4 linked regions of the Lepisosteus oculatus genome follow. The main gene of each other region encodes a partner of the protein of the gene in region 4 in a complex. Links are inferred from orthologs where the notes say so. Each region holds a gene or a part of one and is shown on either strand. Other genes may lie near its edges.

The links.
Region 1: rbm15 (region 4) and wtap share a complex: the UniProt entries of both Homo sapiens proteins name them as parts of the WMM complex. The link is inferred for Lepisosteus oculatus from reciprocal best matches to the Homo sapiens genes RBM15 and WTAP.
Region 2: rbm15 (region 4) and cbll1 share a complex: the UniProt entries of both Homo sapiens proteins name them as parts of the WMM complex. The link is inferred for Lepisosteus oculatus from reciprocal best matches to the Homo sapiens genes RBM15 and CBLL1.
Region 3: rbm15 (region 4) and mettl14 share a complex: the UniProt entries of both Homo sapiens proteins name them as parts of the WMM complex. The link is inferred for Lepisosteus oculatus from reciprocal best matches to the Homo sapiens genes RBM15 and METTL14.

What each region holds. Positions count from the first base shown.
Region 1 is NC_090697.1:50,788,270-50,795,967, forward strand, and holds the start of wtap (pre-mRNA-splicing regulator WTAP), read right to left. Parts: upstream 3,111-7,698; 5' UTR 3,033-3,110; coding exon 3,005-3,032; exon of another isoform or gene 2,982-3,004; intron 2,107-2,981; coding exon 2,069-2,106; intron 1,983-2,068; coding exon 1,927-1,982; intron 1,843-1,926; coding exon 1,784-1,842; intron 1,104-1,783; coding exon 976-1,103; intron 1-975. UniProt on the Homo sapiens protein: Associated component of the WMM complex, a complex that mediates N6-methyladenosine (m6A) methylation of RNAs, a modification that plays a role in the efficiency of mRNA splicing and RNA processing.
Region 2 is NC_090702.1:39,978,989-39,987,222, forward strand, and holds the start of cbll1 (E3 ubiquitin-protein ligase Hakai), read right to left. Parts: upstream 3,375-8,234; 5' UTR 3,257-3,374; coding exon 3,244-3,256; intron 3,229-3,243; exon of another isoform or gene 3,143-3,228; intron 1,470-3,142; coding exon 1,302-1,469; intron 1-1,301. Other genes in the region: sortilin, read left to right, coding at 6,121-6,384, 7,739-7,801. UniProt on the Homo sapiens protein: E3 ubiquitin-protein ligase that mediates ubiquitination of several tyrosine-phosphorylated Src substrates, including CDH1, CTTN and DOK1. Targets CDH1 for endocytosis and degradation.
Region 3 is NC_090696.1:11,929,949-11,937,484, forward strand, and holds the start of mettl14 (N6-adenosine-methyltransferase non-catalytic subunit), read right to left. Parts: upstream 3,143-7,536; 5' UTR 3,019-3,142; coding exon 2,953-3,018; intron 827-2,952; coding exon 738-826; intron 1-737. UniProt on the Homo sapiens protein: The METTL3-METTL14 heterodimer forms a N6-methyltransferase complex that methylates adenosine residues at the N(6) position of some mRNAs and regulates the circadian clock, differentiation of embryonic stem cells and cortical neurogenesis.
Region 4 is NC_090700.1:37,399,827-37,408,202, reverse strand, and holds rbm15 (RNA-binding protein 15), read right to left. Parts: upstream 3,165-8,376; 5' UTR 2,987-3,164; coding exon 374-2,986; 3' UTR 105-373; downstream 1-104. UniProt on the Homo sapiens protein: RNA-binding protein that acts as a key regulator of N6-methyladenosine (m6A) methylation of RNAs, thereby regulating different processes, such as hematopoietic cell homeostasis, alternative splicing of mRNAs and X chromosome inactivation mediated by Xist RNA.

The sequences.
Region 1 (7,698 bases), on a different chromosome or scaffold from region 4:
AAAGCAAAGGGTCTGCCATCTACAACCGCCAGGCATGTTAAGTGCTTTGAGCTTCTTGTAAACCCCTTATGAATACAAATGTATTTTTTCCAGCATGATCACTGTATATTAATTGTAACCGCATAGTGTGAGGCATTTACATATATAAAGTTACAAATAAAAACACTATTCGCTTGGGATGTGTAGATGTGTGTTTCTGGACTGAACACATCTACTGCTACATCTGTTCTTTTTCTTTTCCCATTTACAACTGTTTTTTGTGCAATATATGCCAGGGACCCGTGCAATACATTTATATTTATATCTATATAATCATATGTGGAATATAATTTTTCTGCGTACTGTTCTGTTCTAGTTTGTTCTTTGTGTCCTGGACTGTAACTCTTTTAGTGCACACCTCACTGTACTGATTGTATTGTATGTATTGTATTATTATTATTATTGTATCATTCGTTACACTGTGGCTGTGTTGCCTGTGTTAAGCTGCTGTTGCACTGCAGTTTCCCTCACAGGATCAATAAAGTATCTATACTTAATTAACACACAATGCAAATGTTTAAAGGGTGCAACTGAAACTGGAGCAGTTAGAGCCAACAGTCTTCAATTTCAGTAAAATACCCTCCCTTAAAGTTTAGATTAAAAAAATTGTAAAATAAGTTAACTGAAGCAGTACAGCAGTGTGGAGGAGTGTTAGGAGTGAAAGGCTGTGGATTCAAATCCCATTGCTGATGTACCCTTGAACAAGGTACTTAACTCATATCAATCTAATACCTAGCCAAATCAATGGGTACAAATTTAAAATGTTTTGGCAAAAAAAAACTCCATGCCAAATATGAAATAATTGTAGAAAGTATCTAATTCCAATAAAAAACATTAAACCTTATATTATCTATATATGCATTTTCTTTCAGGCCAATACTGTGATGCACACTTCCCTTCAACAAATACAACTTAAAAACAGTATTTGCTACTTACTGTACACTCTTGCATTTCCTGTTCTTTTGTGGCAAGCCTCATGACAAGAATGTTTTCTCTTCTTGCAGATTCTTGTTGCTGCTGTTTCAGCTTCTCTTCAGACTCCTTCAATCCAGTCACATCATTCGCTAAACCAGAATTGGGCAAATAAAGAGGAAAAAAAACTTAACATTTCAAAAAACGCAACAGAGCATTCAAGAGCAGCTTTACCATCCTGTAAATTGATCACCCCAGATTTCTGAAGCTAAGCATACTTGACCCTTGTTCGGGGCCAAGATGGGAAAAACTCTAAAGAAAACCATGTTGCTGCCATTAAGTGACATTTGTGTCAATTTGAGGATAAATGTGTCACTTCCCTCTGGAACACAATTTCCAAACCAATACCCTTCTATTGTGAATAAGGACACTGTACTATAGGAGGTGGTCTTAAACATTAAACTAACATCCTGATCACATATTCAAAGGTTCAATATACTGTTCGAAAGAATAGGGGGGCTAACCCACATTCTGGCAAAAATCCACTTCGGACTTGCATTTGCTGGGAAGTTAGGCACCCAACAATTGTTTTCTCACATCAATCCAGGAGGAGGCTGCACTTAAACTGGTTGAAAAGCACTGCACAAATGCAGGTATTAAAATCTTGAGAGACAGTATATAAAGGTTTCTGAATAGACTGCTTAACAACAGGTCTTGTAAGAACCAATTAAGCAGCAGATGCTATGTATACGTGGTGAAATTAAGTAGCCTTCACAATTTATCTATTCATTTTCCAAATACAATTTTTATTAACATGAAAACATGAACTTACAGTTCAGTTCTGCATATTTTGCTTCCAGAAGTTGGACATATGCTTCATGCTGCTTCCACCTGAACAGAAAAAATAACATGAATTGCACAAGGCCAAATTAAGACGCAACGCCCCAGTTCCCTCCCTGCAATACAGATATTTACCTTACACAAAGTTCCTCTCTGGTCAGGGTCTTCAAGTCAGATTCACTAAGGCGAACCTAATCAAGCAAGAAGATGTTTAGTTGAAATCTCAACATTTAAGATCACTATGTTGAATGACCTGTATAACATTTCCTATACTGACCTTCTTTGGCAGAGGTTCTTCATTAGTCATTCTGAACTCTGTAGGGGAAAGAGAAAACAAAACAATGGAAAGTCTCAACAAAATGTAGGAAACTTTTTTTTTGGGGTGTGCAAGAAGATCGACACTCAATTAATCACAGATAAATGAAGAGTAGACTTTGACGTGGATTTCACACTGTTATGGTGAGTTAACCAAAAAGAAACAGGCGGCCACAAAAGACAGGTCAACATTATGCGACTTCTTAAAATAGTGTGGGGGGGGGGGGGGGGGGGAGGGACAAAAACTTGTCAACAATTTTACAATCCACATATATTAGATCGACATTATCTCTTACAAATTACATCTTTCCGCAGCAAACTAACTTTAACGATAGCCTCAATCATTGACTCCATCACATAGGCTCAGCTACAACCATTGATTTCAGATGGTAAGACAGAGGTGTACGGCGTCTGAAGTTGCGCTTCGGCTGATAGTGCTAGCAAAACGAAATCCAAAATATTCGGACTAGAAAGTTTCCAGAATTTTCCAGTAAAGCTACAACCAATTCAAAGTATTTTTCAGCTTGTGTAAACACCTTCCCCATCAAAACAATTAAAAAAACACCAGTTAAAAAGCTATCAACATCTTCTTGGGACACCTAATTTATTTCAAGTACTGCCAAGTAAATGCTCAGTAAAGAGCCAACCTAACAGCTCAAGTCCTGTGAGTATGTATATATAAGGTGACAAGGCGCTCGGTTCCACTGTTTTTCTAATTTTTATCATTTCTTTTCTCATTCAAGATAAAAAAATATCCTGTGGAGGTATCCGCCCTCCCCTGTCTTGCTAAAGCAGAACCATCATGGTTTTGGTATACACATCACGCTGTTTTCGTTACTTTTAAATACAAAGTATAAAAACACTTAGGTACAAACATGTAAAAAGACACTTTACGTACGTGTAACCGTGCTCGCCAAAACTAGCATAAATATCCGGGAATCATTATGTTGTGTTTTCGCTACCTGCCGGTTTCTTGTGTTTGCAGCTTCTCGCTGCCACAAAATGGCGCTGAAGGAAGAGTGTCGGACTCTCCCGCAGCCGAGACTCACAATCCTCCCCTTGATAACCACCGTTACACCCCTGAGGGAAGACTTACCAGACCCGTCTTTCTGCTGGCTAGAAATCCTCTTGGACAAACGCTATAAAACGTTAACAAAAGCGAAATTAAAAATAAAAACAAATCGGGAAATCTTTTTTTTGTCTCGTTTCTCCAAACACCGATGCTATTTGCCCAAATCTCTCGCCGCCGCCATGAGTGAGAGGAGGAGGAGCTTCCGCCGCAAAGCATCATAAGGTGGACGCGCGCAGAGCGCAGTGGGCCGGAGGATCAGCGCTCCAGACGGAGGGAGGCGCAAGTCTCTTCCAGTTGTCATAGAAATATGTTATTATTCAGAGAATCCACATCCTGTAATATCGCACACATCAACAAAGTTCAGTACATAGCTCGCTGTCTGAAATCCCCAGTGATGAATATGGATTTCAACATTTATGATAATAATAGTACGACTATGAAGACTTAGAGGAAAAACACATAATGCATAGATATATTCTGTCGGCACGGTGGCGCAGTGGCTAGCATTGCTGGGGTGCAATCTCCATGGAGTTTACATGATATCCCCCTCTTTGTGTGGGTTCTGTGGCTTCCTCCCACAGTCGAAAATGCTGCCAGGTTTATTGGCTTGTGGGAAAGCTGGCCCTGGCGTGGGTGTGTGCATGTCTGAGTTTGTGACAGTGTGTTTGCGCTGTGTGGCATCCTGCTCGGGGATATCCCATCATGCTCCTGCGGCTTGCTAGGAACAGGTTCCTGCCCCCCGAGCCCTGTAGTCGATAAAGCGGTTATAAGATGGATATATAGATGGATAATTGTGCTTAAAGGCACTGTATAAAGTTTGTACACAGAGGCTTTAAAAAGTGCAACAAATACTGTTGTTTCAATACTCGTGCACTGTTTAATGCTTCACAGTGTATCATTAGTGTTGTTGTTATATCTATAAATTGCTATTTATGTTTTCATTTGGAATTAAATGTGTAGTTTAATCTTTTGACACCCTGTTCCGTCAACTCCAAATTCATGTATATTTCTGTATTCCATGCAGACAGCTTCTATCACTTGACAGGTATGTCTATTTGCAGGTGTTCATGATGGAATGTGGTGATTACGTGTATGACTCATTTACAGTCCTACTGTGATTTTATTAGGGGTTAGCTGTCACAGGTGGTGATCCCAAAATACAGAATAATTTTAGCTTTTATAGCCAACTACTCCACCGAGCAATTACAAGAGTGCTAGGCCCCTTTTTCCCCACCAGAGGTTCTTCTTATCTCCCAGTACCTCCAGTGCACCCACAGACCAGACAAGACAGTCATTCTTCATAATATGCCATTTTATTGTAGTCTACCGATCACACAGAGTCCATGACAAAAATTACCCACATGCCAGCAAACCATATGAGCCCCATGGACCCCAGTTTCCAAAACCCAAAGTCCCAAAGCAAAAGTCTAGTAATGCTGTTTTGGGTCAGTGACCTGGTGTGCCTCCTTCTGCCACAGCAAAGACATTATGTGTTGTCTTAGGCATCCTCTTCAGTCCCGGCCAACCCAAACAATGTGGTCCCTCATGCTGAGTCTAGCTAAGTCCAGTTGTTAGGGGGGAGGACGATGATGCCGGGGTCTTCCTCTGCTGCTCTCTGTAGAGTCTCTAGTGTATGAGTCCTCTCCTGGGTCAAACAATGCAAACTGTGTTCCCCTCAAGTCTTCCCTCTCAAACACTGCCTGAGTTCTCCTGACTGCCTAGCCAGGACTCAGGACTCGTTCTTGGGAGGGCTGGGATGGGGCATGTACTGTAAATGTCCCATTTATGTGTTGCGTGTGGACAGAGCTAACTGCGCAGGGCCTCATTGAAGAACTGGCTGTATGCAGATACATTGTCTATTGTTGTATTGTAATGTATTGTAACAATACATTGTCTATGCTTACCCTCTTCTGGAGCCCTGCTCCCTCTCGGTCTGGGGCCCAGTTACATGCCACCTCTGAACTGTGCTGTAATTAACGAGCGTGTACGCAAGACGGACCTTTGACCAATGGGTGGAAGCTCAAAGAACAGGGAGAGAAAGGCATCAGCCCTTAGAGAGACACTGTTCTGTGTGACCTTAAAGTCAGTTTACTCAGTAAAGTCAAGTACAGTACTGTATTCTCTGCCCTAACTCAACAACAAACATTCAAGTCTTATATTTAAGGCTACAAACCATCCTGATTTTCCCAGTGCTGTCTTCCAGATAGCAGAATCAGAATGTCCTTTATTGTCCACATACATTGGAAATTTTCTTTTGGATTCACTGAGACAACAATTAAAACCAAGTAAACAAAACTGTAACTGTATGTAAAGGAACAAGTAATAGGTTTATTCCATGCTAAGAAGAGAGAAAACAGGTGGAGAGAAGAGGTGAGAGAGACAAGAGAAAGAAGAGGTGTTTTCTCTCTTCCATTTTCACCATGGAATAAACCTATTACTTCTTCCTTTGCACGCATGCTGACGCAGCTACCAACCTGAACCACTTTAACTGTATGTAACATATGTCACATGATTCATACAATCAATGCAATATAAATAACAAAACCATACAATACAACATAATACAAAACCATAAAACTCAAGTGTGAAACATAAGATTTAAGTGTGACCGTACAGTACATGTGCTGTCAATGCAATGTTGTGGAAGGAATCAGAATTTAAAAGAGTAACGGCACACAACATGAATGACTCCTTAAAAATATTTTCTATAGCTTTTGAATGTGAGACATTCTTTAAAATTAACATTGCTTTCCTGTAAACAATCCTAGTATAGATGTGGTTCAGCTGGTTCTGTTGAAGTCCCTGCCTCACACAGTGATATTGACAAGTATGGGTTTTGCAATACTGTCCCAATTTTCCCCTGTTTTGTCAATCACCCGTGGGTGGGTAAAACCAGGGCATGGGGGCATCACAAGTCTCATGATTGAGTCTAGGGACTCACAAGGGGGCCAGCAGTATTGATCACGGAAGCCTCCAGCTGCGGCCAAGAGGAGGATCATCACAGTAAACCTCTGGATTCCGGCTCTGGGAGCCAGACTGAACTTAAATTTGATTACATTTGCTCATTTGCTGCACATCTGTAAGTGAAGTAAATAGTTCATACTTACAGCCCAAGGCAAAGAGACACCAGGATCTTCGCCACTAGCAGAATGTCAGAAGGTTCCACAATGGTCATTTTTACAATATATACATTATACATTACCTGTTCTGTTGGATATGAAGGTTTAATTTCTTTGTTTGGCTATTCACTAGATTTCAATCTGACATATACAGTAGAAACATTTATTAAATTAGTACAGGTGGGTAGCTGCGTCAGCATCCGTAGGCTGCAAAGGAACAAGTTATAGGTTTTTTCCATGCTGAAAAGAGAAACATTCTTTGGGTGTGAGGCTCCACAGCCGAAACTTTGTATTTTCTTTCTTCTCTTTTCAGCATGGAATAAACCTGTTGTTCCTCTGCATTTATTAAATTAGATTACTTGACTGTAAACTCCTAAAATGGTATATTGTGTCAAATAATAATAATAATAATAATAATAATAATAATAATAAGGTTGTTCCTACAAATTTTAAGAATTTCAGACCCTCTGCAGTTTATCTCCACATACACAAAAAAGTTTGACAGTGCCATCTAGTGCTGACATGGTGCAAATATAGTTACAAAGAATTTTGATATTTTCTGTCTTGATGTCTTTGCTGTGTAACATGTAAAAAATACATTGCAATACCTGAACCTGATAAATGTTCATTTCAAATGTACGTTCAAAATTTAAGGCTGTTTAAGTTATATTTTTAAAATATGTATACTTGGTAAAAGCAAGTTAAGGGTTTAAGTAAATTTACAGTTAATGTTATTAGCATATAGATACTAATAACATCAGCAAAGTGTACATAACAATGTGCAAACCACTCGTACCAGGGATTCATTTTGAATATCGTGTAAAATTTTGGTCACCGCGTTTCATCATCATCACTTTCAATAACCGTTTATCCAACTTTAGGGCACGGAAGCCAGGAGCCTCAAGGCAGAACAGGGAAGACTCCAAGGAGACCTGATAGAGGTATTCAAAAATCCTCAATGACGAAGTGACACACTAGGCTTCTTCAGAATGAACCATGAAATACGAACCAGAAGACACAACTGGAAACTTAAAGTGGAAATATGGAAATGCATTTAAACCATTAAAAAACGAGAACAGGAATGCAACTTTCACGTCTCCAGAAATGAGCTGCACTGTCAATCTTCCCAAGAAGAAGTGATATAAAAACACCAAAAATATTACAAAACATGCAAAAGTGAATGAAGAACGGTATCTTTTAGTTGTGGGTCTCTATATCGCATTCCTCCCAGTTTTGAGGATGTACACATTTTTGTTTAGCCAGAAACGTACCTTCACCCTGTCTTGGATTTTGTAGGCATGTTTTAGAGAGACTTTTATTGTGAAAGGCAACGCGAACAGGAAGACAGTTCCTGTTGCTTAATGATGTCAGCTCCGCCCTTTTAGGCACGTCTTTACCCAA
Region 2 (8,234 bases), on a different chromosome or scaffold from region 4:
GGGAGATTTGATGACCTGACATCTCCTTTAAAAAAACTCACACCACAAACAAAGCTGTACCTATTTTTATGAACGTAATTCGATCCCCAAACCCCTTTTGTATAGAGGAAAACTTATAAAAAGAAAAACCTATTTTCATTATTTCTAACCAGGAAAAATTATGATTTATTCTGGACCCCAAAAATGTCACACCTACTTTTACTTTTTCACCAAAAAATGACAAAAGAAACAATAATAACCAACAATCATACTGTGTTTTTAATAATAAAAACACTGGTTCCCTAGTTAGACATCATTAATCATATCTAAGTACAGTACTGTACAGTACCCACTTAATTTGCTTTTGTGTAATAAATGTTCTCAACATCTTAATGTAATATATGTTCTCAACATCTTAATGGTCCATGATAAAGCATAAATCACAGATTTTCCTACACGAAACGTAAGAGCACTCACGATAGAGAACAACGCATGAAGCAAGATGCCGTGAACTGTATCACGTCTCTCATGCCACTCTGTAGGCTCTGTACAGGCTCTCACCCATTCTAGCTAGCGGAAGGCAATGCATATACTTGATATGAAATGAGTCGCATGACGCCTTCCTCTCTACTTTTTGCAGGGTTTTTTAAATTTTTCTTCCTATGGCTTTTTGTAGTTTTAAAATCAGCTTTCATTATTCGAAATGAACGTACTAATTTCTCATGCTTCACAGTAGCGAATTTTCATAAAAAGAGGTACATGTGCACTATATTTTAAAAGTATGACATTTTAAAAACACCATATATGAGAGACTGAAATCTGAAACTGACAAACTTCATATTAGTATTATTTCTTTATGCTTCACCTTTTTTATTGGGGAGAAATGAAACTTTCTAATTATGTGGGTTAAACTTTAAAAATAACTTTGTTACTGGTCTGTGGTCAATTTAACCAATAATTATGATGTCTAAACTTCAACTTACAGATGTTGCTGTTTACTGAATATTCATGCATTCTAGCTAACCACATAAACTGAAAAAATAACTCAGATGAGGCTAGCTAAACTTCAGACGTTGCAGACATTACTGACAGTGTGAAACACTAACAACAACAGAACTGGCATCTCTTCCATGTAAACAATGTCCGTCTACAAAATACTGTGCGAGTGGTTTTATTGGAACATCACAATAAAATGATTTTTAATACACGACACATTTATGACGAAACAGAAAACCTAACATAATACTTGACAGCATCCACAAAAAGGGAGCAGAATGCAAGACCGAGCCTTCGAATTCACAAAAACAAAAGAGCAGTCTTACCATCATCGCCAGCCTGCGTTTTGGAAGGTATTCTGTTCATGGCCCTTTGGGCCCTAACTGCTGGCTTGTTTCTGATGGTTTGTTTGGAGAGAAGCTTTATGGGAATCCGCCTGCGCACGTCAGGCCCCCCCAGGCTACCTGGCCCATCCGTGCCCTGTAAGTCATTGTCTGAAAGCAAAAAGAATCCAGCAAGTTTACCGTTTTGACTTCTATACTCGTCCATAGAGGCAATGATAGCAAAGGCAATATGGTTTCTTTTTATTTCTGCAATGGAAGTCACTGCGATCCAGCATCATGGGTCTGAATTCAGGAGGGGGCACCCTGTGTGTGGAGACTGCACTTTCTCCCTGTGGGCACACGAGCCTTCTCTGGGAACTCTGTGCTGTCAATAAATCTGTGGCATATATAAATTCCGGCCCTTAAGCATCCGATGATTGCGTGTATTTGTAGCCCTGTGATGGGCTGGCTTCCCATCCACAAGGCTCTGGCCTGCCACGGGCTTTACTGTTACTGAAAGGGAAAGACGAAGTGACACAAAGTTATTAAAAGAGTGTACGTGGTAAGAGAATTTAACAATGTCCTTCAAAATAAAAAGGGTGTTCTCAGCTATGCTCACAAAACGTAATGAGTAGGCATACACAGCTCAACTCCACGTTTGAATGATGCTGAAAACTTGGTACCCTAATCTGAGGAATCTCTTTCAATTCCACATCGGCTACACCACATCACTTTCAATAATCGCTTATCCAATACAGGATCATCGTGGCCGAAAGACTATCTTGGGATGCATTGGTTGCAAGGCAGGATACACGCTGGACAGGACGGAGATCCATACAGACACGAGCACGCACGCACATACCCACCAAGGACAATTCACAAAAGCCAATCAACCCACCAACACGTCTTTCGAGGAAACACCAAAACAAGATAATACAAACTCGACACGGGTAGCGCCCAGGGCTCAAGCGCTGAAGATGCTACAATGTGCCACCAGTATCAGCTGAATGTACTTTAAAATGTCAAAAATAGTTCCTAGAACAAGCACACTATACAAATACTAATGAATTATTTAAAAGACTGTAATCATATGTAACTGTACTTCACGTCTTATACTGTGAAATTAAGCTTATGTCATACATCACCTGATAAAAAGTTTCGTCTTTCAGAAAAGATTATGATCTTCAAAACAAGGGAAAATTATTACTAAAACGGGAAATCCGGTCATCAAATACCAGAGAATTCTAAGTTCACCCGAAGATTGTTATGAACTATTTCTTAAAGCCAAATTAACGGCAAAAAGAACAGGTGAAATTTTCACATGAGTGCAGTCTTTCATCGACACTCCGATTCCCAAATCCTTGCAAAACAAACGGGACTATGGACGATGAACTTCTTGACGATGTGGAAAACAACACAAACCTAAGACTGACTTACGGATCTTTATATCCTTTTCAGCAAAGTCCGAAATCAAACATTTGTATAATCTTTTCTGAAACGTACTCGTTTTAAGTCTGTGGGGAAAACGGGAAAAAAAACTACCGAAGACAACAGGTGACAACCGGGGCAGAACTCCGCTACCTGTTCTGCAAAACTTGTAACCCCTTTCATCCAGTGTAAATGAACCACTGTTTCAGGTTCACGAACACCGTGTGAAAATCTCTATTTTTTAACAGATCATGAAGGGGGGAGAAAACAAATCACACCGTAGCGCACACTTCTTCAGCAAAACAGCCCCTTCCTCTCTTATTCAATGGATGCTGCGAGAAAACTGCAGAAGGCCGCAAGGCTCCGCATTGAGGCTTCTCCAACTTCACAGTCAGGCAACTGGCTCAGAAACGTACCCTGGTCCTGCGTAAACCCAGTGAATGTCTGTGCATCCAATTTGATTTAAGAGAGGACAGAATACGGCTAAATTGCATACAGAAAGGAATTCCCTCCTTACCATTCTGGTCCATGATTCGGAGCGCTGCACGGTGGGAGCGGAAGTGAGGGGATTCAGGGGCGGGGCTTTCAACGGAAGAGCGCGCAAGGCGTCATGCGTCTTACAAACTAAGTCGGTCCGACGTAGGGAGGTGGTGTCTGTTAAACCTTTAAGAAAAACGTACTCAACGTTGTAATAATTGCAGAGAAAATCATCTGGATTGCTGTTAGTCTATGTATCAACTGTGGTTGTTAACGTTGAAAATAGGGGGGGGGGTGTAAGATTTATGAACGTAGCAAAATGTCGTCTTCATTATCATAGAGTGGAGTAGTTAATCCGAAGGCAAAAGGAAATGGGTAGATGGGCGTGATGTGGAATCTATACAAGTACTATAACGTGGTTAAAGCTATTCTATAATGGGATATCTATACGCGAACAGGAACTGGAAATGTGCGAGTTGCTATCCCCACGACCTGCTAAGAAACCCTATCGGCCGTCTTGGTAATTACTCTCCCACTTTGAGTGGAGGTGGAAAGCAGAGTTGTGACAAGTTCATCACAAATATTGTAATCGTAGTTTATAATACCTTCCAAAAGGTATGGTTCTGAAAGTAATCCAACACAAAACGCAGTTTGAACAGTTGAACAGTTTGTACAACGACATGCTTCCAACATATAATACCCCGTCAGTTGTTTTAATATTTCCCTTAAAACGAAATTAATAAGATATACATCCGTATATACAGTAAATACGACGCATCAATAAAAAGGAATCTTGAAGATTAAAAAAAGCATTACGGTAGCCCACAACCGACATACTGTACACCCGATTAAGCGTTGTTTTTCTGATTTGAAAAAGTGCATCCGAATTGTGTTGATACGTAATTGTATTCCATTAATTATGAACAAACGATTTGACTCTCACACTATTAATTCATACACATAAATTGTTCAACAAAATTATCTGCATCTTTCAACGCAGTAACAGCTGAATATTCTGATATGTAAATTAAGCCTTCTCTTCATGACAAATTGTAAAAACTTGCCAATAAATTCAGTGAAAGCAAATATTTTTCCGTAGTTAACACCCACACACGTTACAAAACACAAATACAATTTAAAAAACATAAATACCTTTTAAAAACTACTCTGCACATAAAACATTTTATACACAGTAAGATATCTGTGATATGTAAACAAATACATTTGCTAAATATTTCAGAATATTTCTTAACGGCTATCTCAGATAATTTATTGCCAAAAGTTTATGCAATGTGACTTGTTCCAAAAAAATAGTAAAATTATACAACATCGTATTCCAAATAGGGGAAATTTCCTAGTCCTTTTCTAAAAAATGTTTATAAAATGATAGATGTTATATAAAATAATAGATACATTTTATAGATATTTATAAAATAATAGATGAAGGTTTAAGACGCGTGAGAGTATGAGGAATAATAACAATGTGCATAGGCTATCTGCCCATTTGGTTTTCTTGATGTTGCTTATTGAGCTACTCGTTTCTTGAAGTTTCTCGGAATATATTGTAAGCATATAGCGGCTTTTCAGGAAAATAACCACAGATCAACATGATAAAGCTTTTGAACAATTGAAAAACTTAATAAAAAGTTCTAATCTAAAAAAAAACCCTGTTTATATGTATCAGCGATTTTTTTAAGGGTTTTTGTTTCAATTTGGGTTAACAATTGCTGTACTTTTACTGTGGTCTTACGATCCCTGGACCCACACCCACAGGGCAGAGAAAGTAGAGTATGCAAGTGAAGGGAATTCTGGCGGCTATAGTTTAGGGGGTGAATACTTTTTCAACCAACATATTTTAGTTTTTCATTTTATTTTGCAGCTGTTGCTGACATTTAACTTCTTATACCTACAAACGTGTTCAGTTTCAGCCTTCGAGTTTTGATTAAAATACTTGAAAAAATGTGTACACATCATTTGTAATTTAACAAAATGAGACATCATTGAAAGGGGGTGAGTGCTTTTGTAGGGCCTTGTAATTCAGCTCAATTCAGTAAAGACTGCATTGAAACAAGGTTTAAAACCTACCCTGTCATGAGCAAAACTCGCATAAAGTCACATACAGTAAGAGATCCGGTTATTCAGTACTTGTCCACTTCAGTTCAAAGCGTCAACGGGGAACCAGTCTCTACTGAGTTAAAATAGCGTCAATTTTACACGACTGGTAAATTACAGGTTAGAAGCTAACTGTTGAGCAGTTTAAACCAGCTCAAATCAATAAATACTAGTTCAGACCGTTAGAAATCTATTATACATTTCAACTGAATGCAACCGGAATTTCCACTGGATAGCTCCCTGGATAGTAGCTCCCCTGAAAACAGACTAGAAAAAAAAGACAAAAAAATAGAGTGTTCTATACTGCCATCTTGTGGGTAATATTTCAATAGCTACCCGCAAAAGGTGTTGCTTCCCACCTGAAAACAGTACTGTACTTTATTCAGGATTGCAGGCTGTGTTTAGCACCGAATGTTGCAACCCCACCGTACTTGAATTATTTCCAACTTCTGTTTTCCCAAATGTAGATGTGTATCGTACATTCAACTTATCAAATATATTTTTTTAAATATTTAAATAAGAATCCAACAAAAAAAATGACAGACACGGTTTCGATTAACAGTACAATATATTAACATATAGCCTATTGTAACTCACTTTAATCCTCAACGTCATGGACCCGCATGTTCTAGTTGTGTCGTCGCTTACGAGAACGAAAGCATCCAATTCGAAGGAGCCATGTAAGTGAGAATATTTAAAATAGCTGTTTTGACAGTTAAATTGCCTCCACCTACTGTGTGCAAGCGAGACACTCGTGACCTGTCGCTTAAGCACCGTCTCCAAAACAGGACCAGGCTTTTGGATCATGGTTTCTTTTCTCAAAAGTGTAGAGAAGATGACTTCGGGACATTTGGTCCTGACTCTCTGCTGCTGCATTTTCGCAGGTGTATCCGCGGAATTCTCGGGATTCGCACCGCATTCGTGTCGGACACAGACGTTTTCCAGGACGCGAACGAACCGTGAAATTAACCCCAGGTTTAAAAGGGATGTTAGCACTGAAGGTTTCACCCCCTGTTTCTCATCCCTCGAAGCTGCAGATTTAAAGAAACTAAAGCAAAACACTCACGAGGTAAGGGTTGTTTTTATATTTCATAATGTATCACGTACCTGAAGTGTACTTGCTAGCATCTTTATGTAATTTACATTGACTGAGCCGCAATTGCAAATAAGGACGCTTTTTTGTGTCACGTGCGTTGAAAACGTACTGTACACACACCAGGCTGTGATATCAATGTTTAACCATACATTTTTACAAAGTTCAAATGTCTTAAAAAACGAAAGCAGTTGCACACTATGTGCTGAAAATCAAAACAGCGCTAGGTTTACCTGAGGCGCTACTTGTAGGTTCATTGCAGGGCTATACAGAGCGTTTGGTAGATTTATATTAGAGTTACGGTATTGTAGTGCATATTATTTATCAAAAGAATAATATACACTACTTTTTGAGGGGGTATTCTACAGTACGTGTTTCATTGTTCGTATGTAAAAGGTAAGCTTATACAGTAGCTGTGGTGCTGCTGTGCGATTATATTAGGTACAGCTACTGTATAATAGGTCCGAATCCAAGTCCGAATCCTCACAACCGGGATGTCTGTGGCGCCAAATTTCAGTTCAATTACTTAGGCTACTGCCTAGTCGTCCTCAGTATTCTCATATTGGCATAAACCACACTGAACTTTCTACAAGCAATGCGTTATACTGTAGGAACGTTCTGCCAACAAAGAGACAGAATGTATTCTGAATGTGCTTGCTGAATAAATTTACATTTTGGTTGTGTGGCATTATCTTATAGTTAGATATAAGAATAAATTTGCAATGAATTCAGTTAACACCATGTTGCAGCACTTATGTAAAATGTGTGCTCACATGGATAATCATACTGAGAAAGTACAGCTACTGTAGTATTAAAAATAAGAATTCCCAAATATATTGGAACACAAGAAAGGTTGCAAACGAGACCTGTTTGCTAGTTTGTAGCCAAACTAGGGTATTGGCTTCAACAACAAGGCTGGGTAGCTTGTGACATACTCCCACAACCCTTTGGGTAAAGAAATTATATAGTTGTGTATAAAGGGGACATTTTGTTTTAAAGGAGAAGAGATCACAGTCTCAAGATTAATAGGCATATTGCCACTGGCCTGCCAATTGTACAAAAGGGGAAGTGGGTATTTTTGTTTTGTTTAGTTGCATTTCCGTAAGAGTATTTTTTGTTTTTGTTTTTGGTAAATGTGATGCTAACCATGTCAAGTTGCAACAAATGACCATGTGAATTTAAATAATATAACATTTATAAAAAAAATCAAGTAAAATACTTTCTAAGATCCATGTATTTTCTAACATTTCTAATTTTACTTGTAATGTCAGTAACATTTTTCTAATCTCAGAAAGTCAACTTGGTGACCTCATTCTGCTCTCTTTTTCAGACTAAATTTCTTGACGATGATGGCTCCAGTTTCATCCTGAGCTGGGTGGGGGATGGGACTGGTGTAAGTATTTTTAAAATATCAAGAAACAAAGTTCTTAAATAAACCTGAAAATGCATTTAAGATAACAGACATTATACCGGATCGATGTAGAAGACTCTCACAAAGGAAGTGTGATACAGTTAGCTTTCTGTGTTTTTCTCTTTTTTCAGGCCAAGTCTCCATTTACGTTATGAATAGTATGGAATAGCAATTTGAACGTAGAGGACAGAGTTTTTTTAAAATCCAAATGAATGTATTCCTTACTTTTTTGTGCTCAAGTTCTCCGTCTTCAAAGACACAATGCCTTGCTAATGATTTTTTAGAATTTCCTTCAAATTGTAACAATATACTGTTGAACAATGTTAAAGGGAAGATTAAAAAATAAGCCTGTCTGGCATGTCTTCCACAGTCTTGCTGACTTGTAACTAACGGATGAAGAGATCTCCACCAGTTG
Region 3 (7,536 bases), on a different chromosome or scaffold from region 4:
GAAAAATTCATCAGAGAAAATATTCTAGAGTCCTAGATCTTTGTAAACTAGACTCAGGGACAGTAAAGGAAGGCATTGAAACAATGATTACGCTAGTCTTGGCAGAAAGACTGTCTTAACATTCAGAATATCAAAGAATCAGGAAAAGGAACAGGTCACTGCATACAGAAATAAAGACATATATAGAGTATATATATATGAGAGTCAGAGTTCAGTTTACAACAACAAAGTTAAATAAAACAACTTGAATAAAACTCAGCATCCGTGTGAATCAGTAGATGTTAAATTCGATAATCTGACATCATGGAGGAAGAAAGAATGTTTTTCAATTAAACGGGTTAAATGTCAGACTAAAGAAATGCTCGGCTATCAATAAATATACTATTGATTAAAACATTAGGAAATACAAAAATCCAAACTTGTGAGGCTTATTCTAATATTTAAGAACAAAAAGATAGAATAATAATTATGTAGGACGATACCGAATTGGATCATCATATGCTCCTGCCAATATTAAGAACATGTTCAATAAACAAAATAGTATAGTTTTTGGACAATCATGTTAGATGTTATGTTCCCAAATAACGGTACAATAATAAACCTAACAAAGTACCTTTGGGTGCTTATTAAACTATTTATCCAAATGTAACCAAATATGTTTTTGTCAAACATATTTCTAGCCTGGCAAATATTTGTAGCAATTTTTGTACACAACCATGAAAGTGTTTCTTTCTTACCTGCATGTCTCTCTGGTTTCTTCAATTTCTTTCTGTTCCTCCTTACTGTTCAACACTGCACCAATGCTATCTGCACTCTCAGCTCCTAGCTGTGAAGAACGGTATAAATACAGTATATTACCTTAGCAGAATTTGTTCGACTGTGTTCTTTTGGATTCAGCAAATTGATATCATGGAATCTTTCAATCTTCCAAAATTCCAATTATGAAAAAAAAAGTGCTCTAGGATAACAAATATAGGCCCCCCGTTACAAGTTGCCACAAGTTGTTGAGATGCAAAGGAAAAAACTCCCCTCACACAAGTAAAGTGTTTTCAACTCAGTGATTTTCCATTAGAAAAAATCTTACATCTTGTGCATTGTTGCATAGCTGGTGGTGAATGTGAGTGACAATGGCAACTTTTTTTATATTTAATCTTTTTTTAGACAAATATTACGTTAAATCAGACGACATGAACAAAATCATGATTTCACTATATGTAATGTACTTTTAAAATAAGAACGTTATGAATTAAATTGTATTGGGCATGAGCTCCATTAACATTACCACAATCCTGACAATACTTGACCAGTTTTGGGATACAGTGATGTATGGTGTTCTTCCCTTTTCTATGCACCAACCGCCAGCTAGGAAATGCTGGAGGGTTTGTGTTTGTCTCCTGTCCATGGCATTAGCAATTTGCCCCCACACATGTTCAATTACACAAAGGTCAGGAGAAGAAGCTGTCCTTGGCAAGATCTTGGACATTGTTTTCTTGAAGTCTTGCCACAGTAATCCTAGCCCTGGATAGTCTTTCATTGTACTGATGGTAAACTTGACACCTGGATTGGCTCTTATTTACAGAAAACCTGTCGTATCAAGGACCTTGTTAATATATTGGTCTGCATTAATCTGCATCCAAGACATTTTTTCATTGAAGGAAATTTCACTTCTACTACCCCCCAGATTGAAAAATGCAATGTTAGCAATGACATCCTCTCGCATGTCTTCTGGCAGGTCTCTGAAGGGGAAAAATGGTTTCATCCACGATTAAAACTGTCCATCACTCTCTCGGTTGCCTCCACAAATGTGCTCCGGCCCACAGAAGACAGCAATTCTGTGTCTCAGCCATCGCTGTTACTCTCAGTGACTTGAATGGAGTATGGGGATCATTTTCATGCAATTTGTGAGCTAGTTATTCTACTGTGATATCTTCCTGGAATGTCCGTTGCTGCTTCTCAATACAGTTTATTAACAATTATGGAGATAGATCAGATTGATGTGACTGTCCTGGCCGACATAGTGAAAATCCACCCCCCAGGCCTGCATTTTGGTTCCCCTTTTCTCTGGACTAGTGAGCCGATTGTTGAAATAGAACATCTCATTCTCCAGGCAACTTCTTTTACTGATAGGTCACCTCCAATCACACCAATAGCAAACATGCTGTCTTCATTTCTCAAGCAGGCCATGGTCAGATATTTCATATTCTGACATTAATTATATTTGTATTTTTGAACGGCGGTTGGCGCAGATTCGTAATCAATTTTTGTTTGCAATTTTAACTCGACTCCAATATCAAACTCGGAGCACCCGATACTTTTAAGCCACCACGTGATTTTTTAAAAGTTTTTTGTTGCAAAAAAGAACAGCACTTCTCACGTGATCAACAAATCATTTAAGTTAAATGACGTAAAACTACAGTACGTTTTTACTGTTCATTAGTTAAACCATTTAAAATGTTTAATTTTATAAACAAGATAAATAAAGCAAGCAAAAATATGATAACATGTAATCTCCACTCAAAAAATTTCAGCATTTATTAACGTCAATTTACATTGGAATTAGGTGCAATTATGCCCCCACAAGCTTGTATCGATTTTATTCATTATCTATTTATTCATTATATAATTCATCATTAAAACAGAACTGGAACGGTAAATATTTATCCAACTCCCAAGGGCAATGCCGTAATGCTTTAGAGATCTGTATACACCCGCGAATTTGTGTTTTTTAGCAATATTGAATTTGATGTAATTTATCTCAACTCGCTCTCTTGTGAATCTAACTTCTCTACGGTTAACACCTTATTACGATCTTAAACTACTGACAAATAAAAATTGTTAACTAATCCCCTACAAAAATAATCCAAATCACATAATTCTGGAACACAATTTGAGTGGGAGCTATGCTATCTTTTGTTTTCGTAACGTGAACAAACAGCAAATGTTCTTCCTTACCTGCTGTGCTAAAAGCTGTCTTCTAAGCTTCTGTCTTTCCCTTATTTCTTGTAAACGGCTGTTCATTTTTTATCGATACCGAAGCAAAAGTTCTCAAAGAATGCCTGAATCCTCATTTAGTTCCAATTCCAATTCTTCCCTCCTGCGTTTCTTTCAGAAGCAGCACGAGTCGCGGATATTTTGCGTCATTTCCGGGTAACAGAAAACGGTGATTTAAAATGATGTTTCTTGGCTATTCGGTCATTTCACTTACCACTCAAAAAGGATAGAGATGCAAATATTGGCCAGTTATTTAAAAAAAAGAACTAAAAACTTTTTAAAAAACTAATAGATTTTAACAATATAGGAGATTGTAGGTATTTGTATAACATTCATAGGTTTTGGTCAAAACATAATGCACTTACAAATTATCCATGTAAGGGTACGTCGTCGAAAAAATAATAGTGGTTCTTTCATTTCAATATTACTTTTTTTATCCCCCTTTTATCAGTGTATATTGTTCTGTTGCGTGTACAAGAGTTTAAATCTCATTGCAGCGCAAACTGGCATGTAGACAGTAGATTGCCGTACGTCTTCAGCTGTATGCAGCAATATACAACAGATGCAAAACGGAAGAAGAAATTACAAAAGTATGATTTATGAACATGGAAGAACTTCACTGACGATTCGGGGTTCTGGAGAAACAGTTCTTTATTCAGCCCTGCAGAGGAGGGTGGTTCGCAAAAATCCAAAGTCTAGGAGGATTAGAAATTTAACAAAGTTGATATACAAAGGAAAATCACATATTCTGATAATTGTGTGGTTAACACAATTTATCTTTGTTAAACACAGCAAAGTAAAAAAGTACAAAACAAAAAGGTAATAAATACAAAACCAACCTTTAGCTTAACAACGTTAAGCTTAAATGAACCCGGGGCAACTGTTAATGGCAACACAGCTGTCGGCAGCAACAAGAAGTAGAATTCATAGCACACGATGCACATAATCTAAAATAATTTGGTCACTGTTTGAACTTTAAACAGTATTATGGATGTCTGCTGAATACTTCAGCAAAGATGGCATACAGTACATTTGCTTAAGAGCTGAATAGGCGGTATAGAAAGCTTAAATCATGAAATGGAAGCTTTTGTCATGTAACAAACGTGGTTTATAATTTGTGGTTTGTGATTATGAGTATTGTTACAATTATTACTCATTTTAACAAGACTGACAAATAAGACTGACGTAAACATTGATAATATTGTGCATTTTCAAAATGTGTTACAGCAAAAACAATACTGTCAGGGCACTTTATTTTAAAAATGATTGTAGTAATAGTGTAAATCTGCCTTATGAATGCCTATAATGTTATAATGATTACTAATGACAAGCAGAAGGTCATGTTATTATTAACATGTTATAGGAATAAAGTATTCAAGGTCTTGATTGCATAAATAACAATAGTCTTGAAAATGTTTATTAACAATAAACCACCTTTATTTAATAGTTTATGTGCCTTCTTAGGAGTAAATCACATGATTTTGGGTGAAGGTGTAATCGCTACATAGAAATACAATTTTTAGAACTTTATTCAATTGTAATGCTTATTTTTTTCTGACTTAATCAACCACATAAAAATCATAACATTTTTATTTTAACCGTTCTTATCAACTATAATAAATTTTATTTCAGTACAGGTATGACAAGTGATCTGCATCTGTATATTTTGTTTGAACGTTTTCATAACAACAAAGAAATCTATGCTCTTCTTAAAGTGTGTTCTTTAAATGACACTAGAAACATGTCCTAACATACATAGAAGTATGTCCTAATGTACTTCCTACAGGATAAAACAGTATAAAATGTTTTAGAACAGGATTGGAATTTCTTACACTGAAACTGAAACAGTGAGGTGTGTAAAGAGCAATTTTTCTCCACTTACTATATATGTCATACCTTTCTTCATCTCCTGCAATCATGACCTTGCTGTGGTGGAGGAGTTTGAATGCCACAGGGAGTTTACTCCCTGCTACTGAACTACTGTACTGTATGTTGTCAGGTGGATTGTGCTTCTGGTAGGGCTACCCTTGGCAACTTGGTCTTAGATGAGAGGCCAGACAAAGAACCTTGCACGCTAGACTGGGATGTTTTTCCATTACGAACTGAGAAAACCCTGCACAGACCATGGACGCCAGGACTCACCCTTGGAGCCAGGCCAGGTGATGTTGCCGGCAAACACCTGGTGTCTGGATCACCCACACAACTCAGCCAGGCTCAACTCAAAATGGTTACATGGAGCTGCCATGTGGGATTGCCACTCCCAAAGTGAAGGATGGGGGTCGGGTAATGAGATGGAGTGGGAAAGATCTGGATGATGGACTAGACCTTGGCACTGGAAACTGGCTCTTGGGTTGTGGAACATCACTTCACTGGGGAAGGAGCCATAGCTGGTATGGGAGGTTGAAAAGTACAGACTAGATATAGTCGGTCTTACCTCTATATACAGTATTGGTTCTGGAACCACAATTCTCAATCAGGGGTGGTCTTTGTCCCTCGCATGTCTGGTCTGTGTCACGGTCATCATCCCTCCTCTAGAGGGCGCTCCTACCATTCTTGTAATGTTCTTAGTTTTATTAGTGTTAGCTGTGTTTCATTGCCTCTCCCTTCTTTAAGCCCAGTGTTTCTGTAGTTCCAGGCTCAGCTTTGAAAGACTGACACCTGGAAGCCCACCTACCACTGGGCTCAGGAGTGGCCCGAGGGCAAAGGCTTCATCATGCCGTCCTTTCCTCTGAGTCCCATGCCCCATTATGCTTTTAACCTTTTGTGTTCCTGGTCCCAATTCCCTGTTCCTGTTTTTAATCATCTGGGTCTCCGATGGATCTCCTGGTTTCTGGATTTTGGACTGCGCCTTACTACCCCTTTAGACTTCCTTTGGACTTGTTTGCCTGCGCTCCCCCCATGCGCCAGATCACCTCAGTCACGGCCCCCTGTCTGTCATCCTGACCTTACCTCGCTGTGCCTTCCCTGACGCCTCCAGACACTTCCGGAATATACCGTCACGCATAGGGTCTTTTACAACACACTCCTCGGGAGTTAGATTCAGCTCCCGTGACAGTCTGAGTGGGTGTGGAGATACTCACAAGTCCCTGGCTGGGTGCCGTGCAGTTGGAATTTGTCATGATGGATGAGAACAAATACTGTACTGCATATTGCAGAGAGGAAAACTCTGACTGCCGTGCTTATGTACCGTGGGCACCACTTTCTGACTCCATTGTCCTGCTGGGAGATTTCAACATTCATCTGGGGAATGATGGAAAAACCTGGAGCGGCATGACTGGGAGAAACAGCATCCCAATCAACAAGTCACTTGCTCTCTCTGGGTGATGGGGTGGAACCTTAGTTTATCCCAGGAGGTCTCCCATCCAGGCACTGGCCAGGTTCACACCTGCTTAGCTTCAGTGGGTTGCCAGTGAGTTGCAGAGTGATATGGCTGCTGGCATGTGGTGAGGATTCCCCTGGGCACCTCCTGCTGGAGGTGTACCAGGCACGGCCCACTGGGAAGATACCCTAGGGCAGACCTAAGTCACACTGGTGGGTTTATATCTGTCGGCTGGCCTGGGAGCACATGGGAATCCTCTGGGAGGAGTTGGAGACTGTTGCTGGGGAAAGGGAAGTCTGGTCTGCCCTGCTCCACCTGTCAACACCATGATCTTCAACAGGAGTAAACTGTTAGAAAATGAAATGATTACTATTAGTAGAAGTACTGCAATAAATTACAACTGTATGATTCTTTAATATTATATAATAATATGCTTTCCTAGGCTTTTGAAATTAATTTTGCAGATATATACATTAAATAGGTTAATTAAAAAAAAACAAATAGAAATTGCTTAGCATTGTGTATGTTTTAGAATCTATTGGCATAAACTAAAGTACTTGAAGCCTCTGGCTTAAAAAAATGTATTTTTAAAGTACTTCCTAAAATTATGTGCTCTGTATTAGCGTTTGGTAGAGGTTAGGGCTCTGAATTATAGACTGGAGTGTAAAATTCTGACTGAGCCTCAGTTTTTTGTATCATCAAGCAAGATATTTCATTCAGGTCTGTCCAGTGAATTTAAAAGACATTATATTTTATTCTAACGTGGTAAGATATATTGTACAGTATATAAAAATGTAGTCTAAATAACCACGTTTTAGACAAATAGCCTGCTCTTTTGAGGTCGATTCATACAAAGGAGTTATTAAAATACCCACATTCTGTAAAGTTTGGGTTGCTTGTTAGAACAGAACACGTCTGTATACTCTACCAAACAAAGGAAGGCAAAGCAAATATCACAATTGTAAGGATGTGTTCTTGAGATGTGAATTTACAGCTAGTTGGAGTCGGGGGCGCTACTCAGCGATTTTGTGGCAGTGGCTGGAGGAAGAAAATGAATTGTTGGCAGTGCAAGTCAGGAGCAGTCAGCGGAGAAGTTTTTCAGTGGACTGATTTGGACCTATTATTTTTGCTAAAGAGAAAATCAGACATACAGATCTGGGAAAATTGATTTTTCCGTCGTTAAATGGACGTACATGACAAGGACATGGGGACAAGCTGACAAGCAA
Region 4 (8,376 bases):
TTGCAGAGGATTTTAATTTTGTAAGGATTTGCTGTTAATTTTTTCTGAGCACTGTGTCACATTGCCATTACCTTCCTTAATCCAGTGAACCCGAAAGACTAACATCTGATTGGGTACAGCATAAACAGACAGACAACAACAATTTTCCATGCATGACAATGAATTTGAAGTTTTCAGAGCTTTTTGTTTTTAGCTATTTGGACCCCCAAAACCTGTGGATCAATATTTTTTTTTCTAAAAGGAAGGTGTTTTTCTTTTTGGCAAAACATCTGAGGGCCCGCAGCCCCCAGATTTAGAGATTGCTGTATCCCATAATGCAGAACAGAGCGCATGCAGTGCTGTGGATAGATTACAAGATTTTTTTTTCTCTTTTTTATGATGCCCCACGAACAATGATCATCACCAGGTAGTCCTCTTCTGTTTTGGCAAGAGCTTTAGCAGAGGAATCCAAGAACTGTTGAGAGAAATCACAGGGAGGGAAAGCATGAAGGACTCCAGCGTTGTCCTTGTCTCTGCTGCCACCTACGGGGAGACTGATAACTCCTGCGGCCTGTTTTTGCTTTAAGTAAGAGACCAGGTTCCTCAGCGGCCTCTGGGTGGACGATGCTGGCTCAGATGAAGACGACCCGCCCTCGGAGTTCCCTGGTACCGCCAGGAGGACAGAGTAGCCGCTGGGGCCTGCCACCTTGATACGTCGGGTAACCTCATCAAGCTTCGGTTGGTCCAGACGCAGACGCTGGGTGATTTTCAGCTGGGCCACTTTGCCACCTGTAGAGCCGTCGATCAACAGGCTGGTTGCCACGTTGAGGTCACCTTCCAAGAGATGCATGTTAGAGGGGAAGTTGCTGTTTTTCAGCAACAACATACCCTGCCAGGCCAGGCACAGCTTCTGGCCTGCCTCCTGCTTCAGCCCCTGGCTGCCCTTGGAAGAGCTCATCTCGAAGCGCTCCTCCTTCTTGGCTGGGCTCTTGCTGGTCTCGCTGATCTTGCGTTTGCGCTCTTTTTCCACACCAGATCCTGCCCCACCCCCGACTCCGCCTGCAGCCGCTTCCCCCGCACTGACAGTTTTTAACCTCTCTCCTCCCCGCTTCTCCCCAGCAGCCCTCTCCAGGCTGGCATGCCTGTCCCGTGCTGGGGAGGGCCTCTCGGAGCGCAGGGGCCGCTCCGAATCGCTGTATCGCCCCCCGTCTCTGCCACTGCTCCCCCCTGGGCTGCGCTCAAGGGAGGGACAGTGACGCCTTCGGGCGCGCTCGCTGCTGTCAGGAGAGCGGTCCAGGTGGCGGCTGTCCTCCAGCAGCCGCCGCTTGCGCGTTTGGTCACGGTTCTGCAGCTCTCTCTCTCGCTCCAGGGACCAGGCCTCCCTCGGCCTGCGCTCCCGGTCCAGATGGTCCAGGGGATCGAAAGCCGCCCTCACTCTGTCCCGGACTGGAGGAGCAGCCCAATCGGTGGCCGGGTAGAGTTCTCTTTCTCTGAAGTGCAAGGGCGGAGGAGTCCTCTCCCTAACCCGCAGCGACTCCGGGGCAGCGCGGTGCACAAACGACTCCGCCACAATGTCGTAGTGAGGCAGGGGCAAGGGCTGTAGGTACTGCTGCTGGTAGCGGTGCTCCGTGTCGGCAAAATCCACCCTCAGCCTCCGTTCCGGTCCCCCCAGCGGGAAACCGCGCATGTGGGTGCAAGCTGCCTGTGCTGCGTCCAAGCTCTCGTACTGGATGTAGGCCCACGAGTCCCCCTTTCTGTAGTCAATAGTCCGAATGGTACCAAAACGATCAAACTCCCTGGCCAGGGCAGCCAAAGGAACCCAGGGTCCGAGTCCGCCCACCCACAAGCGCGTGGTGGGAGTGGCCTTACCGTAGCCAATTTTAATGGGGTTTCGGCAGATCACTTTACCCGACATACTCAGTTTTGCCCGGTGAGCCATGTCCAGGTTCTCAAACTTGAGAAAACCGTACGTGCTGGTCTGGCCACGGGAGGGCCGTTTAATGTCCACCTCGGTGATCACCCCGAACCTGTCAAACGCCCTGCGCAGATCGCTCTCTGTGACGCCAATATCCAGGTTCCCCAAGAACAAAGTCCTGTTGGCTCTTTGGTCATCTTCTGGCGAAATCAGCTCTTCCTCACGGAAAGCGGCGGCACGTTCTGCGATGTTGTAAGCTGGGCGTGCCCGTGCTTCATAGAAGGCATACTCTCTTTCCCTTTCCAGATCTCTGGGTAAAGGTGGGGGCGGGGGAGGGGGTAGGCGACCCAGGGCTAGCTGCTGCAGCCTGTAGTCTCTGTAGCAAAGCCCAGTGGGGGACAGAGGTCTCTGGGCATGCAAATGTCTGTGCCCTGCCACTGCTGCATAAGCCTCCTTTTCAATGGGAGAGCGACTTCTTCTCCGGTTAATGTACACAGCTTCGATCTTCAAAGGGCGGTCGTAGAGGACCAGCCTTCCCCGGGCGTGCTTGGCTGCCCTGGCATCCTCGGGCCGCCTGAAGTTGACAAACGCCACCCTTTCGTCGTTAATCCGACTGATTTTAACGCTCACGTCCCCGAATTTTTTAAACTCGTGAAACAGCCCGTCCTCTATTTCCTCGTCGCTCAGCTGCGAACCCAGTTCGCTTATTTTTAGAGTCTTGTACTCACTTTCGGTACTGGTGAGCGGAGGCCGCTGCTCCCCGCGGGAATTGGTCCTGGTGGCGGCCGGGTCGAGAGTCAGGTTGTTGTGGTTTTTGCTGCTGGAGCTAGCGGCGGCGTTGGCATAGCTGTGATTGCCCCCGGCCCGGCTGGAAACGTGTCCGTCGAAGTCCCGACTTTCTCTTTTCTCGGCCAGCAGACTCCTCCTAGCAGAGCCCCCTTCGCTTTTGACGGAACTGTTGCCATTGTTGCTGCCTCCGGCCGCTGAGAGGGTCCCCATTTTCTTGCTGGTGGGGTGGCTTCCTCCTCTGTCTCGGATGTCGTCCAAGGCCCGAGAGCGCTTCTTCACCGGTGATCTCTCCTTGCCCTTCATCTTTTAACTATTGTTCCCTCAGGCCGGCTTTTACTCACTCGAAAAAAGCAAATCACTAAACACGTTATCACGGGCAGCCACTCTCAGTTACTTTTCTTATTATATTATTGCCAAATATTCAAGTTATTTTCCACCCCTCACTGTCCCTTCAGCAAAAAGCCCGCATACGCCATTTTGGAACAACACATGATAGACCCCGCCTTCGCGTTATTACTGGTGGAACTGTGTCGGTTGGGAGAATGTTATTGGCTAAAAGTAATGCCACTCAATACGGGTCTTTGTGTTGCTTTATGGGACTCGGCTTCAGTCGTAGCACGCTGCATTTATATTGAGAAACTGTAAAGCGGTTTAATTTTTGGCACTATTATACCCTGTCTAAAAACAACGTTGTTTTAAACAGGAATCGTTTTCTCAAAATTAAGCTTATTTTATTGGCACAAAATGTGTTAAAAGCACCCGCCCACATGACTTGGGTCTTTGCCCCGTCCAAGCTGATGTTAATTCTTAAATAACATAATGTATTTTTACATAAAGTTAAGACATTTTATTTTTTCATAAGAAAACAGCAATGTCTTCGTTGAAGATAAGCTTTTATTTTTCTGCTACCGTCATATATTTGCTTTACAAAGGTTCTTTTATTTTTTGGAAATGGCAGCCATTACGGTTCCAGTAGTGGTAGCTGCATTATGTGTCACTCTATGTAGAATAGAATCCATAATGGCGAGGACACTGTTCCAGTTTCTCACTTTCGGAACACCTGGTACATCATACCCTAGTGAGTCGTGGCTATGGTAACGTCTAACAAAGTACGTTTTTTTTCTTATTTTCAGTTACGTGTCGTGTACTGTATTTGTGGTAGTTTTAACCAAGCGTGCTAAACAGTTTATCACCCAAAGTACAAAGTGTTTTTTTTTTAACATAAACTGAAAGAGTTCGAGAAATGCTGGGCGTTCCTGCATTTTAATATTTTGTCTATCAACCCGAATACTTTATATACTTTCTGTCTTCTATGTGTATCGTTACATCGATTAAGTTGTAGCATGAAAATGTGTATTTGTGTATTATGTGTCTTCCTGAAATATATGTAACTAATATAAGACATCTCTTAAAGAAAAAAAAATCAGTCGTTATCTGGAGTAATTTAGGGCTATGTGGTGTTTAAAGGGATTTTTAAATCGGGCACACCATTTCCTGTTGTTAGAAGGTAAACTGTATAAACCACAAAAATGTATTAGAAACACATTTAAATGTAAGTAATATGTTCCTGCGCCAGTAAGTTTATGCAACCTACTTTTCTTGTGTTTTCACGAGTGCAACCTGATTTTCGAAAGGATCAAAATAATAAATGTAATGTTTATTATTTGTAATCTCCCAGGGGCTTCTGTCCCTCGTCTGAGAATAACCCTTGCTGATATTCATGGTGTATTGCATGGCATTATGAATGGTAGGCCTATAGTTTTTAAGCAGCTTTCATTTGATCTGAATGTTAAATTTCATAACATTCTTCATGCTTACTGTTCCTGTTAATTGTTTGAAATATTCTTCTGTTCTCAAAAGTTTGCAGCTCAGCAATAGCAATATTCCCAGGTCAGTGTCTTTGCAAAGGTTTTGAAGGACTTGTGCACTGGCAGTAATGCGTGGTCTATGAGAGTAACAGCCCAGCAGATAATGGGTACTACAAGCCAGGTTTAAATGGGTGAGCAAGCCTCCATTGTTGAAAACCTGATAGCAGTAGTAATACAGATCTGTGAACTCAGTTAAGTCGTTATGGGCTCTGTTCATTTGGAATGAAAGACATAGCGTTTAAGGATCAGAGGTGAAATCAGTGGGTTACTTAAACACTTCCAATGTTATTATTATTTGTAAGCAGTATAATTACTCTAAAGTATTGACATAAATGTGCTTATGTTTTAAGTTAAAATGTACAAATCATACAGCTGACTGCGTCTTACTTAGGGAACAAGTCTACAAACCACCAGCAGGGGGAACCGTGAACTGCATTTATGTGCTTTTACTTGTTCAAAATCATCCTACTTGGATGACAATTTTAATTGCTAAAATGGCTTTTGAACGGATCTTATGCATTTTTAATAGCCAGAGTGTGTGATGGAAAATTAAGTGATACAATTGCTGGCTAACATTTGTACACACACCATTTCCAATAATGTTATTCAATACCCTATTATGTTTAATCAATATATTTGTTAAACTATACTAAAAATATTATCATCTAAATGTATTTCTCATTCATGTACTCTACCAAGTGGTAGCAAGATTTTTAGCAAGTTAAAACAAAAGGTACAAATATTTTGTATGAAACTTTATATATCCAGAGGCATATAAAATGCAACAAATGGATTTGTTCATAATACTTGATGTGTTTTTAATGCCTCTCAGTGTGACTTTATGCCAATACAAGAAGCTCAGTGTTTCTTTACTGGTGAGGTTAACGGCAGTATTGTAGCCTATGAGGTTTAGCCGAAGCACAATTATTGCTAGGCAGTAATCAGCACATCTGTTTTAAACAGGATTTTAACTCAGAGCTTCACAGCGTAATCTCATCTCATCCGTCCATCCACCCATTTTCTAACCACTTCATCCAGTTCAGGGTCGTGGGGGAGCTGGAGCCTCTCCTGGCAAGACAGGGCACAAGACAGGGCACGCCCTGGACGGGACACCAGTCCATCACATGGCACACACAAACAAAAAACACAGACATGCACAAACGTATGCCAGAGTCAGTTTTCCCAGAAGCCAATTTTCCTAATAGTATGTCTTTGGACAGTGGGAGGAAACCAGAGCACCTGGAAAAAACACATGCAGACATGGGGAGAGCATACAGACTCCACGCAGATAATAATTGCTTACACTTATATAGCACTTTTCTGGACACTCCACTCAAGGTGCTTTACAGGTAATGGGGACTCCCCTCCACCACCACCAATGTGCAGCCCCACCTGGATGATGCAACGGCAACCATAGTGCGCCAGAACACTCACCACACATCAGCTATCAGTGGGGAGGAGAGCAGGGTAATGTAGCCAATTCATAGAGGGGGATTATTAGGAGGCCATGATTGGTAAGGGCCAATGGGAAATTTGTCCAGGAGACCCTACTCTTTTCGAGAAGCACCCTGGGATTTTTAATGACCACAGAGAGTCAGGACCTCAGTTTTACATCTCATCCAAAGGACGGCGCCTGTTTACAGTATAGTGTCCCTGTCACTATACTGGGGCATTAGGACCCACATGGACCACAGGGTGAGCGCCCCCTGCTGGCCCCACTAACACCTCTTCCAGCAGCAACCTTAGTTTTTCCCAGGAGGTCTCCCATCCAGGTACTGACCAGGCTCACACCTGCTTAGCTTCAGTGGGTTGCCAGTTGTGAGTTGCAGGGTGATATGGCTGCTGGATTGATGGATTTTCTTTCCTGTTATCTCCCTCTGTAGTTGTGGCTGCCGAAACGATGGGCCATTAATTCTTCACACCCATTGTTTCCTATTGTATTGACACAAGATCAATCCAACTAGGGCACATTTTTCAAACCTTGAAAACAATAACATTGTCCACAGATAACTTCATAAGATTCCACTGAGTCCACTGAGACTGCCGTTATAAATTTGTTGTTGAAAAAGATTACCGCTTACAAGATTCTGTAACACAGGGCAAACTATCTGTGGAAAAAAAACCTGAAAAGTGAAGTGGTTATCTTCTTGCAACAAAAAATAAAAGCCTTGAAAAATGGAAACTCTCAGCCTTTGCCAAGTTGGATCAGCAACAGCTCCAGTGCTATTACAGTCTGTACCTAAGAACCGATGTGCTTCATTGATGAAACAGTCACTGTAGCTGTGGATCTTCCTCCAAACACTAATGAGCTGTTCCTCAAGCCCAGCTCCATTATCTTACAGGCAGCAGCCTCAGTTAAGGCTCAGATCAGCACACAGCTGCCAATGTCGTTCTTGTCTCGCTGCTGTAAATATTCACTGATTATATCTTCCACATGTTCACCACTCTATTCATGTGGCTTAAGTCAAACATGATTTAAAAGAAGATAATGAATGTCATAAAAGCTGATGGTTTGGGTGAATTCTGATTAGGGCATCTTAATTGTTAGGCTATTATTGGAAACAACCCCTGTTACCTGCCTCTCCATCTCTTTTGTTTTAAAAATAATTTAATAATAATTTCTTACCCTCATATAGTGCTTTTCTGGACCACGACCGATATGTAGCCCTACCTGGATGATGCGACAGCAGCCATCGTGCACCAGTATGCTCACCACACTCACAATGATCACAATGATCAGCTATCATTAGGGAGGAGAACAGAGTGATGAAGCCAATTCATAGATGGGGATTATTAGGAGGCCATGATTGCTAAAGGCCAATGGGAAATTTGACCAGGACACTGGGGTAACATCCCTACTCTTTTTGAGAAGTACCCTGGAATTTGTGGGAAATTCCACAGAGAGTCCTGGGTTTTACATTTTATTCATAGGATGGCGCCTTTTTACAATATAGTGTTCCTGTCACTATACTGGGGCATTAGGTCCCACACAGATGAGCGCCCCCTGTTGGTCCCACTACCACCTCTTCCAGCAGCCACCTTTGTTTTCCCAGCAGGTCTCTTATCCAGGTACTGACCAGGCTCACACCTGCTGAGCTTTAGTAGATTGCTAGCTGTGAGTTGCAGGGTGATATAGATGCTGGCTATAAAGATAGATATATATTTGCTAATGTGGGGGGTGACACAGTGGCACAATAGTTAGCATTACAACCTCGCAGAAACTGGGGCCCTGGGCTCAATTCCTGAGTTATCTGTGTGGAGTTTGTATGTTCTCTTGGTGTTTGAATGGGTTTTCACTGAATACTCCAGTTTTCCCCACAGTCTAAAGACACGCTGGTAAGTTAATTGGCTTCTGGGAATATTGGCCCTGGTGTGCCTGTGCCTGTGTCTGTGTGTGCCCCGCGATAGACCTGTGTCCCGTCTGGGGATTATCCTGCTTTGTGCCCATGGTTTGCTAGGATAAGCTCCAGCTACCCCGTCATCCTATATTGGATAAATATAAAATGGGTGGATGTTAAGATTATGCTCTCTTTATTAATGTAATGTTTGAGTCATTGTGATTTCACGTCAACATTTGCTTACATGGCATGAAAAAAATCCTGAGGGCTTGATTAGTTGTTTAAACATTAGTAGTAGGAGGAGCAAAGGCAGGACTAAATAGATTAAACATTAACTTATGTTTTATTTATTGTTCAGTTACTACAAAAAGCATTATAATTGGAAAGGTAACACTTAAAGGGTCTAGGGAAGCTCTGTTTTACTGTGATAAACCATGGAAATAACATAAGAAAAGCAACTGAACATCTTTTGCACAAATCCAGTTAC